Xenopus tropicalis: one gene and its partners. The protein of the gene in region 2 purifies or fractionates together with the protein of the main gene of each other region. This does not show direct contact. Links are inferred from orthologs where the notes say so. Each region holds a gene or a part of one and is shown on either strand. Other genes may lie near its edges.

What was found. The genes of interacting proteins can lie anywhere in the genome.
Region 1: the proteins of ccnc (region 2) and med9 purify together in Homo sapiens (affinity purification with mass spectrometry; 4 studies listed by BioGRID and IntAct, counting the BioPlex papers as one, with this or other methods). This does not show direct contact. The link is inferred for Xenopus tropicalis from reciprocal best matches to the Homo sapiens genes CCNC and MED9.
Region 3: the proteins of ccnc (region 2) and cdk19 purify together in Homo sapiens (affinity purification with mass spectrometry; 8 studies listed by BioGRID and IntAct, counting the BioPlex papers as one, with this or other methods). This does not show direct contact. The link is inferred for Xenopus tropicalis from reciprocal best matches to the Homo sapiens genes CCNC and CDK19.

Annotation. Positions count from the first base shown.
Region 1 is NC_030685.2:15,709,649-15,713,780, reverse strand, and holds the start of med9 (mediator of RNA polymerase II transcription subunit 9), read left to right. Parts: upstream 1-1,329; 5' UTR 1,330-1,411; coding exon 1,412-1,539; intron 1,540-4,132.
Region 2 is NC_030681.2:82,034,694-82,038,207, reverse strand, and holds part of ccnc (cyclin-C), read right to left. Parts: intron 3,211-3,514; coding exon 3,159-3,210; intron 803-3,158; coding exon 747-802; intron 1-746. UniProt on the Homo sapiens protein: Component of the Mediator complex, a coactivator involved in regulated gene transcription of nearly all RNA polymerase II-dependent genes.
Region 3 is NC_030681.2:77,212,239-77,216,254, forward strand, and holds the start of cdk19 (cyclin-dependent kinase 19), read left to right. Parts: upstream 1-1,213; 5' UTR 1,214-1,337; coding exon 1,338-1,465; intron 1,466-1,477; exon of another isoform or gene 1,478-1,658; intron 1,659-2,023; exon of another isoform or gene 2,024-2,397; intron 2,398-4,016.

The DNA of each region.
Region 1 (4,132 bases), on a different chromosome or scaffold from region 2:
TACTCACCCATCTGTAGCCCCAGCTACTCACCCATCTGTAGCCCCAGCTACTCCCCCATCTGTAGCCCCAGCTACTCCCCCATCTGTAGCCCCAGCTACTCCCCCATCTGTAGCCCCAGCTACTCCCTCATCTGTAGCCCCAGCTACTCACCCATCTGTAGCCCCAGCTACTCACCCATCTGTAGCCCCAGCTACTCATCCATCTGTAGCCCCAGCTACTCCCCCATCTGTAGCCCCAGCTACTCCCCCATCTGTAGCCCCAGCTACTCCCCCTTCTGTAGCCCCAGCTACTCACCGATCTGTAGCCCCAGCTACTCACCCATCTGTAGCCCCAGCTACTCACCCATCTGTAGCCCCAGCTACGGCCCAGACTGGCAATCAGTGGGTTCTAGTAAATGCCTCAGGGGCTGCTGTAGGATGCCATGGACAGTCGCTATTTATTGGGCTGGTGGGGGGGCTGTTTGGGCCTCTGTGTACTGGAAATGCCAGGGCCTATTTTGTATCCCAGTCCAGACCTGCCCCTGGCTCTGCTGTATGGCCAGGGCTCAATTTTAGGGCTATGCCACCCTGAACACCCCCACAATATGGCAATTGGTGCATACAGTTTCCACACCAGAAGTGCTGTTAGCTGTCTATTTTTTGGGAACAAAAGTATATAGAGCACAGAGCCCAGGGCAGCTGTCCCTTATCCGCCACCTTATAACGACAGCTCTGGCCATGGATACAGTAGGGTTATTGGTCAATAAATGGAGGGGAGTATTTATTAACGCTGGAAACAAAAATCACCACTGATGTTGCCCATAAAAATCAAGAGTTTTACTCTTGTTTTCTAACTTTTATGACTCTTCAAATCTAATGCTGATTGGTTGCTATGGGCAACATCACCAGCGACATATGTTTCTAATGCTAATGTCTATAATCGCCAAAGGGGCTAGAAGCAGTAACCACACTAGTACAGAAGAATAGATTAATAACAGGGGGTTATTAAGATAATAATAGATAAATACAAAGTATAACAATAAATACAAATAAATACAAGATACAGTTGCAATAATTTAAGAGTCAAAGACACAAGAGGATGGAGGTCCCTGCCCCGTAGAGCTTACAATCTATATGGACTAGTCACAACGTATCCCATAATGCAACGGTGTTTTTGAAGTGACAAGGGCTGCTTGTTATAGTGCCCCATGCAATAGGGCGCCTCAATGAATCACTTCCATCACCAAACACCATATACAATGAAACCTTTTGTCAATAACTTAGCGCAGCCGAACGGGCCCTTATCTATGACGTCGCGCAAGCCGCGGTCGCGCCAGTGACATCATTACGAAACCGCCGTATTCAGCTACAGGCCGCGACGCACAGCTTGTGACGCAGTATTTGTGCTGCCGGTGAAGCCAGCGATAGTAACATGGCTACCGGCGGCAATGTGAGACCGGCTGAGGAGCCGGAGGAGGAAGAAGAGGAGGATGAAGCTGCCGAAGAGGAGGAGGAAGAGGAGTATACCTTCCTACCGCTGGTGCACGACATCATTAAATGGTACAGTTAGTTTGGGGGTCATTGTAACTGAAACACTGCCCCGCTACTGAGCTGTTTCAGCAGTCGGAACCAGCAGTGTTTGTGTATCATGGGAAGTTGCCTGGAATGTCATTTTGCTTTAGTATGTAGCATAAATGTATTTGTATTTACTGTCATTTAGTTGGACACCACTTGCAGGTACTTTTATTGCATTCCCTTTGCAGCCAGTAGCATTCTGTGTCCCTTTGGCCCCATACAGGTAACATTGGAGACAAACATCACTGGGGATGGTGCCCATGATTGGTTAGGTTGGCTTCCAATGTTAATAAATACACCCCTTTATATCTGCAGGGCTTATTTACACTTGATTGTGGTTTGGAATACCTGTTGGTGGGTTAAAGAAGAAGGAAAGGGGGAATTATTGGGGGGTAAAATGTTAGCGCCCCGCCCAAGTGACTAAGATCACTTACCTGATACCCCGGGCTGGTGCTCCTGTTAAGCTTTATCAGAAAGGTCTATGTAAATACAGCCATAAGCACTCACACAAACGCTGCACTGAGTCCTCTATCAAAAGAAACAGGGTTTGTTGTCTTTGTTTTCCTGTGCCAGAGTCTGTGCAGCTTTCTCCTCTCTCCTGTCCCCCCCCTCAAGAATGCTAAGAACTCCCCCCCCCCCCTTAGGAATGTTTGATCTGAGCCAATCAGCAGGAAGCTGACTCATAGTCTAACTAACTGAGCATGTACACCAGTCTTGGTCTTGGTGCAGGAGCGAGGCTTTATGGGAATTTTCTTTAAAGAACTCAGCCTTTTTTTTTGTCCTATGAGGCTTCTGATCATCTGAACAGGAGAAATATGGGGAGACTTAAGGGCACTATTGAGAGAACTGAGGGTATGCCTGCAGCTTGAGATTAACTCTCTATTAGCCTTTCCTTCTCCTTTAAGTTGCTGCTGTGAAGAGTAGACCACTCTTGCCCCAATGGAAACACTTTATGTGATTTTTCCTTTACAGAATCGCACTTTCCATCTCATTAGCGGTGGCCGTTTTGGGTCCACTGCCAAGGACACAGGAAGTACTAATGTGCACTTACCTCCTGTTTCTTCTACCAAGCATATATGCATTTGCTGAGAAAACAAGAGTTTTTGACCTGCTTCTGCCCTGAACCCACGCAAGCCCAGGCTGACCCATTGTGTTAACATGTCTTATAAACCCATGCCCTACCTGCCCACTTTTGATGTTGCCAGAGGGGGGTGGGTTAGAGGCAAGTTTATAAAAGAAAGTGGCCAGGAAGAGTCAGATGTAGCTGAGCTGGGTCGTCATAATGATAAGGGTGGAAGGAGCTGGGCCAGGAAGTGATGTCACACTGGGTAAAACGGGTAAAGCCGCAGGGTATGTGTGGGCCGTGCATCACGTGCTAAGCCCAAGCCTGCAAATGGCAAATTTCTCCCAACCCACAGCCTCAAATAATCAATGTAATATTGCTAAAGGATGAACTGTATATGACAGAAACTGCTGAATTTGCATTATGGGGGATACAGCTGGATCAGAGCCAGTAGGTGTCCTTCATTCAGAAATGGCAGCGTGTAGTCTGTGCAGCAGTGCAGCCGTCGGCAGGAGACTACAGCTCTCATAATGGGAAATCTAAAGGCAGAGAGGATTGTACCAGTTCCATTAAGGCGGGGGTGTCAGGCTCTAGTCTGTCCAGCAGATATGAACTACAATTCCTGCATTCTTAATGTTTGTTTGGGAGCAGTGCTGTGCAACTTGTACTGCATAACTTTCCTGCTATGTGGGACAACAATCACACACAGGGTATGGATTATATTGATATTATGGCATGATACAAAGAAGGCAGTGGAGCCTTTGCCTAGGCTGGGGGCTTTAAGTACTTATTGGAGGGCCCCACCTGACCCACAGGCCATTTAGTTGCCCGAATCTTCCCTAGTAACGCTTTATAGTACATTATGCATATATAGATAATTTGTGTTTACTATAGGAGCCCCTTTAATGAAAGCAGGGCTGACCAACTGGAGCCTCTGGGATAAATGTGGCTTTTCACGTTTTAGGGCTTAGTGGCTGCTTATACTCGTCCGTATGATCTCCTCATTTCAATATTTATCCAACCCTCAGACATGATATGACTACTAAGCAGCTGACTACATAGGAATCCAGTAAGCCCTGCCAAGTTTCATTTGTTAATGTGACTTGATAATCGCAGGACAGGGATGTTACTGTGCCTTTAAATCCTAACCTTTGGCTAATTTTATGTGCCAAAAGTTGGACCCAATTCTTTCCCCCTATTACTGACTTGTGTTGGTCAGCGACATATATTTATGGCCGATAAAAGCTGCCACCCAGTGTGGTGGGCCCAGATCTGCTCGTTTGGTGACCCCACCGAATGAGAGGATCTGGCTGTGTATGGCCACCTTTAGAATTGACGTTGGGCTTGAAGGCTGAGCAAAGTTCTGATAGGCTGGAGGTAGAATCCTGCGAGCCTGGGAAACTGCTGGTTAGTTTACTGGTAGCAAGTAGGGCTTGTACATAAGGTTATGGGTGCTGCTTGGGGGACATGGGTGTCAGTATAAGGCGTGTCTGGGCAATGATTATGATAGGAGGT
Region 2 (3,514 bases):
GCTGAACTAACAAGTATCACAGGAGCTGATCTGCAACAAGTGTTATTCAGTAAAGCAAAGCCTGCAGCATTCCCAGGCAAATGTACTCAGCTGACACTTGCCCAGCTCGCTGCAACAAACACTGCAGGCAACCTCCAGGACTTTCACGTGTTGCTTAAGCGGTGTGTGAAAGTCTCCCATCTGTCAATAGCCTACAGTAAAACATTTGATGCATGAACCTTATTAGTACTAAAGCTAAATACTGAATTATATATATTAATTATATATTGTAGCAGTGACAAATTAAATTCAATTAATACATCACAATACACAATTCATAGAATTTAAAAAAAAAAACAAAAAAAACCTCTGAAGGTAATTTAAAAAAAAAAAAAATCCACCAAGTCAAATTAACAATTATTCACTACAATGGCTGAACTACACCTTTTTGTATGATAGTCTGTGAATACAGTAAATGGTGAAGCTATTACACAGCCCTGATACATCAATAACTAGAGCTTTGATAGTTTCCAATATAATTTTATTTGGACATACACTGCTCATTTTGCATGTTTTAGGTTCCTTGTAAAAACCACACCATAAATCTAACACCACATTATGATGTGTTTCACACCCACATTTGACAGTTACTTAACTTCATTTTAAACAGACTATTTAGACACTACAAAGCAGCACATGGTAATTTACAGCACTGTACATTTATTACAGTCATTTCAGTAATAAAATAAGCCATGTCTGTTACTTACATGGTTCATTCTGTAAGGAAATTCCTTTGGAAATGCATATGAAAACCTAGTTTTTACTGTGGGAAACAAAAGAGGAACAAAATAAAAATGAATACTGATAGTGTTAAAGGACAGGGAAAATCAAACTATTTGTTAGCTACCTTATAATTACCAAAATATATTTTTTTTTTTGAACATGGCAGTGCTTATACTTTTTAGAAAAAAAAGCTGTCCCAAAAATCTATGCCACCATTTCCCCCTCACTCACAGGTATCCCTTGTACACCACAGAACATTCCTTGGAGCTTATCATATCGTGTATGCACCCAGCAGGAACTGGTGCAAGGGATACCTAGGAGCAGGTGAATGGCACTCTGGAAATAAGAGAAAAAAGGTGAATGGCACGACAAGTATGATGCAAGCGGGGCTTAGCCCCTGCGTGTTTATTCAAAGTGTAGCAACATTTCGGGGGCATACCCCTTCGTCAGGCATAAGGAAAATAAGGCCACCAGGTCATGCCTATCATGCAAAAATGCTAATAGAGTCTGCACACTGGTTCGGGAAACTGTAGTCTTTATAAACAAAACCCCTTTCAGGGCTCTGGCACACGGGGAGATTAGTCGCCCGTGGCAAAACTCCCTGTTCGCGGGCAACTAATCTCCCCGAGTTGCCTTCCCCCTGCCATCCCACCGGCGAACATGTAAGTCGCCGGCGGGATGGCAGACGAGGCGGGGCGATTTGCGCGAAATCGCCCCACCGCGTCTGCCATCCCGCCGGCGACTTACATGTTCGCCGGTGGGATGGCAGGGGGAAGGCAACTAACAGGGAGTTTTGTCGCGGGCAACTAATCTCCCCCGTGTGCCAGAGCCCTCAGAAGGGCTATGCCACTTGCACAAGGAAAAAGCTCCCAGAGGCCATGTTGGGGCACATGTATGACATCTTTACAAAACACTATTGTTTTCCCCAGTCAGAGTGCGGTTTCTATCAGCCACACCTAGGGAACCTTGCATGATAGGTTCCCTTTAAAGAAACACACTGACAATCTCTTCTTTAGAAAAAGAACTGGTCTGAGGTCCTTTCCTCCAGAGTGCTTTGTTTTATCAACCTGCCACGTCGATCAGGAAAGGAAAGAACAGAGTTAAAATAAATAAAATAGTGATGAAAATGGGAGGTGTGCCTAATGGAAGGTCACGTTATTACAAAACTACAGTCCGTTCTACTTAATAGCACAGTCCCCTGGAAATACAGTATGGTATGAAACAAACATTTCTATCTTTATATTCTCTCTCTTAAGTACATGCCTTGATGGCAAGCTACAAAACAGAGCAATACTAAGCAAAGAAACATTCCTTTACTACATCTGTGTTGACACAAATTCATTTCTGTTGCTTAGGAATACAGTAATAACATTAAACGAGAAAACACATTCTGTCACCTGTATACTAGAATTGGAAGCAATGTTATATGGTTTAGAAATATACCAAGCACTCCTGCACAACTATATTTATTCAGCATATGAAGAAGAAAGGGTCGTCAGTCTGAATTCTACTCGCTTTATTCCTTTGTAAACAAAACATTTTAAAGTCACTGTAAAAATTATACCTTAGGCAAAAGGCATGCATGCTCCTTTCACAGGCTAGGTAAAAATTACACAAAAGTAATTCACAAAGTGGTTTTATGTTCACTTGAACAAAACTGTTCAAGGGATAGTTCACCATTAAATTAACATGTAATTCTATATAGGACTGTGAAACTGCAAATTTGCAATTGTTTTTCATTTGTATAGTTTTTGAATGATTTCACTTTTTGTTTAGTAGCTTTCCAGTTTGGAATTTCAGAAGCTACCTGGCAGCTAGGGTCCAGTTTACTGTAGCTGGTTTGAATGAGAGATGGGGAAATGAATAGGAGAAGGCCTAAATAGAAAGATATTTGGTAAAATTGTAGCCTCACAAAGCAATAGTTTTTCTAGTAAAACTGTATACACTGCCTTTAGAGCCACAACTAATAAACAGTACATGTCACGGTCACAAGCAAATAAAGGGAAAAATAAGGATCATGAGACTATAGCCACACTAACAAGCCAAAACCTTTTGCATACAGAGACAAACCTTAACCATTTTTTCTTTTAAATGTAGAATATTCTGAAATACTTTTATACTTCTTTTATTCCCAATAGTACATTTTTAAAATCCTGTTCCTTTTTACGATTTACAAATTATTATATGTGTGAGATACCAATATTTCCAACAGCACTGTGCAGAAAAAGAAATACAGGATTCCAACTACATTAAAGTCTTCTCAGCTTTCTAACATTATATTCCTTGTCTGTGGTGAACAGCACACAAGTATATTTTATATATTGACAAATAAGGATAAAATTCAAAATCATCATAGTTCCAAATATTCTGATCAGGTTTGCTTATTAAATACTCACACACAGAGGTAGCAGCAGAGATTAATCTTGTGTTTGAAACAACACCAAATTCCTGAAACACAAACACAGGTTTGTTTGAGCTGATGACAGATCCATTAACTTTTTATGAATGTACTCTATTTCTAAATAAGAAATCATTATTATTGTGTCGTGCCCCAAACAAAAACTTTGGTCCGGTCAATCAACATTTGATTGAGACAAAATGGCAATTCGAATTATTTAAAGATCCCTTATCTGGAAAACCCCAGGTCCCAAGCATTCCAGATAATAGATCCTGAACCTGTATTAGAAATAGTTTTTCTTAAGAAACAAAAACCAATAGAAATTAATTGGATATTTTATTTGTAAAATAATTA
Region 3 (4,016 bases), about 4.8 Mb from region 2:
GTGGCAGTGGCAAAAAGGGGTCCCGGGCTAGGGGGTATGGTGGGGGAAGGGACTGCAACTGGTGTAGGGGCAAGGGAATGCAGTGGGGGTGCTGACTTCCACTGTGGGGGCCTGTGTGTGGCCCGCCTAGCCTTATCACTGGCTGGGGGCTTTTGTCTTTGAGAAGCATTGGTGGCAGTGGCTGTGACCGCCATAGGTGCCTGGGCCGCAGTCCTGACCTCTGCACGCTGCCTCCTCGAGACTACAGTCGGGGGTTGGGAGGCAGCGGCAGAGGACGTGCGCCTGGATGCGCGTGGGGGACTGGGGCTCAGGCGAGAGGGAGGGCGGGAGCGGCGAGCCGGCCGCTTCCCAGCACTGCCGGCTGCCTGTCCCCCCTGTCTCTGTTCAGTGCTGATGGGGCCAAGTAGCTGTTGTAGCCAGTCGGCTCCATCAGAAGCAATTTTTGCCTGCACCTGCTCCAGTAGTTCCTCGCTCATGCTGGGGTCTGGTGGGGGCTGATGGACACAGGCAGCAGCAGCAGTTGGAGCAGCTAGGATGCCGCTTGGTGGAATCCAGAAGCAGAGTGGCAGCAGCAGCACGGGAATGCAGGCACAGAGGAGGGAGGAGGAGCGAGCAAGGGGGGGCTGCCCTTTCCTGACTGCACTAGCTGGTGAGTTAACCCCTTACAAGCACGGAGGGAACTGGGCCACAGCTGGCTCCACAGTCCCTCCGCGCTTTCATTATTTATTTCAGTGCTCTCTATTCTAGTTGGCAAAGTTTGCAGTGTCATCTATTAGTACTGGCCAGCATTAGGCATGGTTGAATTCCCTGCTACCTGAACAAGGCATTTTTTGCCATGTATTTTAGTTCTATGGATAATGTCTGACTAGTACACTGAAAAAAACACTATTTCAAAGATAAATGTGTTTATAATTGATTGTGTGATTTGGCGCGCATTTATTAACATGAAGGCACTGCATCGCCAGCAATGAAGTAATGAATGAAGTGATAGGCTTTCCCCCTGCCAGTTGTTTGTGCCCAGGAACCCTCCGCTCAGAGTACAGGCCCGGTAAGAAGTGACGCCTCTCAGGCGGGCAGCTTCCACAATTTGGCAGCACCACGGCAGAGCGGGCAGCTGCTGGAAGTGAAATTGAAAGTAAAGATAGAGGGCGCTCTTCCCGCTAAAGTACATGGCATGCGTCTATGTGCAAAGAAGAAGAAAAACAAGGAAATGGTGGAGGGAGAGCCTGGCACTTATTCCATGTAACGACCGGCAGTAGCCAACGGACAGCAAAGGGTTGGGGCGATAGCTGAGCCTTGATGGGTTAAATACGCCCTCGCTCCAGCCGTGGAGGAGGATGGATTACGAATTTAAGAGCAAGCTGTCCGCCGAGCGGGAGAAAGTGGAGGAGCTGTTTGAATATGAAGGTTGCAAAGTGGGTCGAGGCACCTACGGGCATGTTTACAAAGCTAAGAGGAAAGATGGGTAAGAGGCACTAAAGGGAGGGGCGTGTGGGAGGGAGGTGTGTGTTAGGTCACTGTTCATACCTGTGTGCGGACCACCTAGAGCATCGCGCAGTCCTGTGCTTGAGCAGCAAACGCACCTCTCTAGGTGCACACATACCTGCGTGGGTTCCGTACAGTAGAATGCATGTGCTTGCTGCTATTGTGTCTATGAGGTAATTATTGTGTTCACTCATGTCTGTCACAGCCTTGTGTTTGTTATACCAGCAGCACTGCATATACACGTAACCCCCGGACAACGAGGAAAGCCGGAGATGCTGCATTTCTTGTCATGTTAGGAAGTTATTGATGGGGATATTGTGCTAGTTATGTGCTGTTACTGTGTATTTGTAGCTCCCTCCTCCTCCTCTGCACACGCCCGGGATGCTGAACTTGTGCTGGGGGAGGAGGGGGAGGGAGTCTGAGCTACAAATGTTTATGTTGGGGTAATCCAGCCTTGTGGTCCCACCTACTCCGCTGTTCCTCCTCTTCAGTGTTTGCCATAGCACCATGTGTCAATATTTTCTCCCTCGTCTTGCAGATTACCCATTTCTATGGCATTTTCCCTCTCTTTAAAGAGCCAGTCCTGATCAGTAAGGATGCCAGCCCTTTACTGAGGAGACAGTTACCCGCTGGGATTCGTGAAGGGCAGCGGTAGGGCCACAAGTTGAACATCACTGGAGGCTGAGCTGTGTGTATGAAAAGGGCAATTACACATGATATGAAGTGACTGCTTATACTTCAGGCTTAACTAAGGAATAAATAAATGCGTTGTTCTCTAAACTCAGCATAGTAAGACTTTTAATAAAGTTGAAATGATGCTTTGCTTGATTTCATTCAGGTTAAAACATTTGTGATGGCACCTATGTGATTTTTCTGGGATATTTGCTAAATAAACACACGTTCTTTAAAACATTGGCATGTTTGTGTATGTGCAAGATTTTATAATCGCCTCCATGTTTGATGTTTTAGTTGCAGTCTTATACTAATGGCTGTAAGAACTTTGAATTATTTATCAGACAGACATTATTTAGCCCATCTAGCATGAAGTTTTTTTTTAATTCTCAGGACTAAGAATCAATAAAAAAAGCTTTTAAAAAGATGCAATCCTTTGTCAACCCTTTTTTTTTTTAACTCTTGGTTCTGGCCCTTTAGTTATCCTCCAGGGAAGGTGCTAATTCTCACAGTGCTTTGCTCACTTCTTCATAGGTAGAACTACTGGTTTAATGGTGGGTTGCTGGACTGGCAATTTGTACATTCTGCTTAACACCAGAGGGACTGTAAGATGCCCATAGACAGTCACTATTGGGCCTGTGGGTGGCTGTTTGGGCGTCTTAAGTACTTGAAATGCCAGGGTCTGTTTTGTCTTGCAGCCCATACCTGGGCCAGGTTTAGGCTAAATAATACAGATTGGGGACTTATAAGGTATTATATTAGGTTAAAAAAATCCATTAGTTCTGTAGCAGTGACATCACATTACATTGCAAATAGTGCATTGTCTGTTTCTTTTTCTACTGTTTTTTTTCCACAAGAAAAAAATATTCCCCTTTCTGTACCTGTGCACCCTCCATATTATTTCTGTGTTTTTGCTGGAACATTTTGTACAATTCCATGTCCCATTGTTTAACTCACATCCTGCATTAGATTTCCAGCCCATGCATAAATGTCACTCTTTGTATAATGAGTAAGCTTAAATGTTTTCCTGTAACTATTCATTTTTAATTATTATTAATTATTTTATTCTCTGCCCCCTTAGCTAAAGGTAAATGTTCAAAGATTATAACTAGTCAAACTCTTCTGTCTTTACTTTTCTCATTCCCACTGGTGATGGTTTGGAGGCGAGGATCATCTCTCAGGGGCAACTTGGGGCAATTTGATACTCAATGTAAGCTTGTAGTTCCTTGCCTCTTGTACATGCCTTAACATCTAATAGCCCATTTGCTGAGATGCTCACTGAGACAACTTGTGACCATCATAAATAACCCTGCTTATTTTTAAATCTAAGTAATGTAATATTTAGATATTCTTGAAGAATTCCCCAAGTACAGAAATACTTAGTAATAAATTATCTGTTCCACTGTCCTGTCCTTTGTTTACCTCCCATGAATCCTTGTCAATTCTTTGTTTAGTAGTAGTTGGGCAGGTTTGTGGTACATTACCATTAGGGCCATGACAGACGGGGAGATAAGTTGCTGCACGACAAATCTCCCTTGTCGCGGGCGACTAATCTCCCCGATATGCCATCCCACCAGTTAGGGTGACTAATCTTCCGGTCTGTCATGACCTTTAATTACATAAAAAATGGCCCTCGAGCCAATAAAATCTCTTAAAAAACTGGGACCCATGTAACTTTTGGTTACTCTGCTATGTTTGTGTAAACTGTCTGCTGGCTCTTACCTTTGCTAGTATATTTAAATTGTCACGTTGGTGACTAATACATCATTTTCTAATCTTGTAATCTTATCTGTAGCACTTCCTTTCATTGGAGGATGTTTTGAAATATTTTATTTGCTTGTAGAACTGTTCACTTCCTT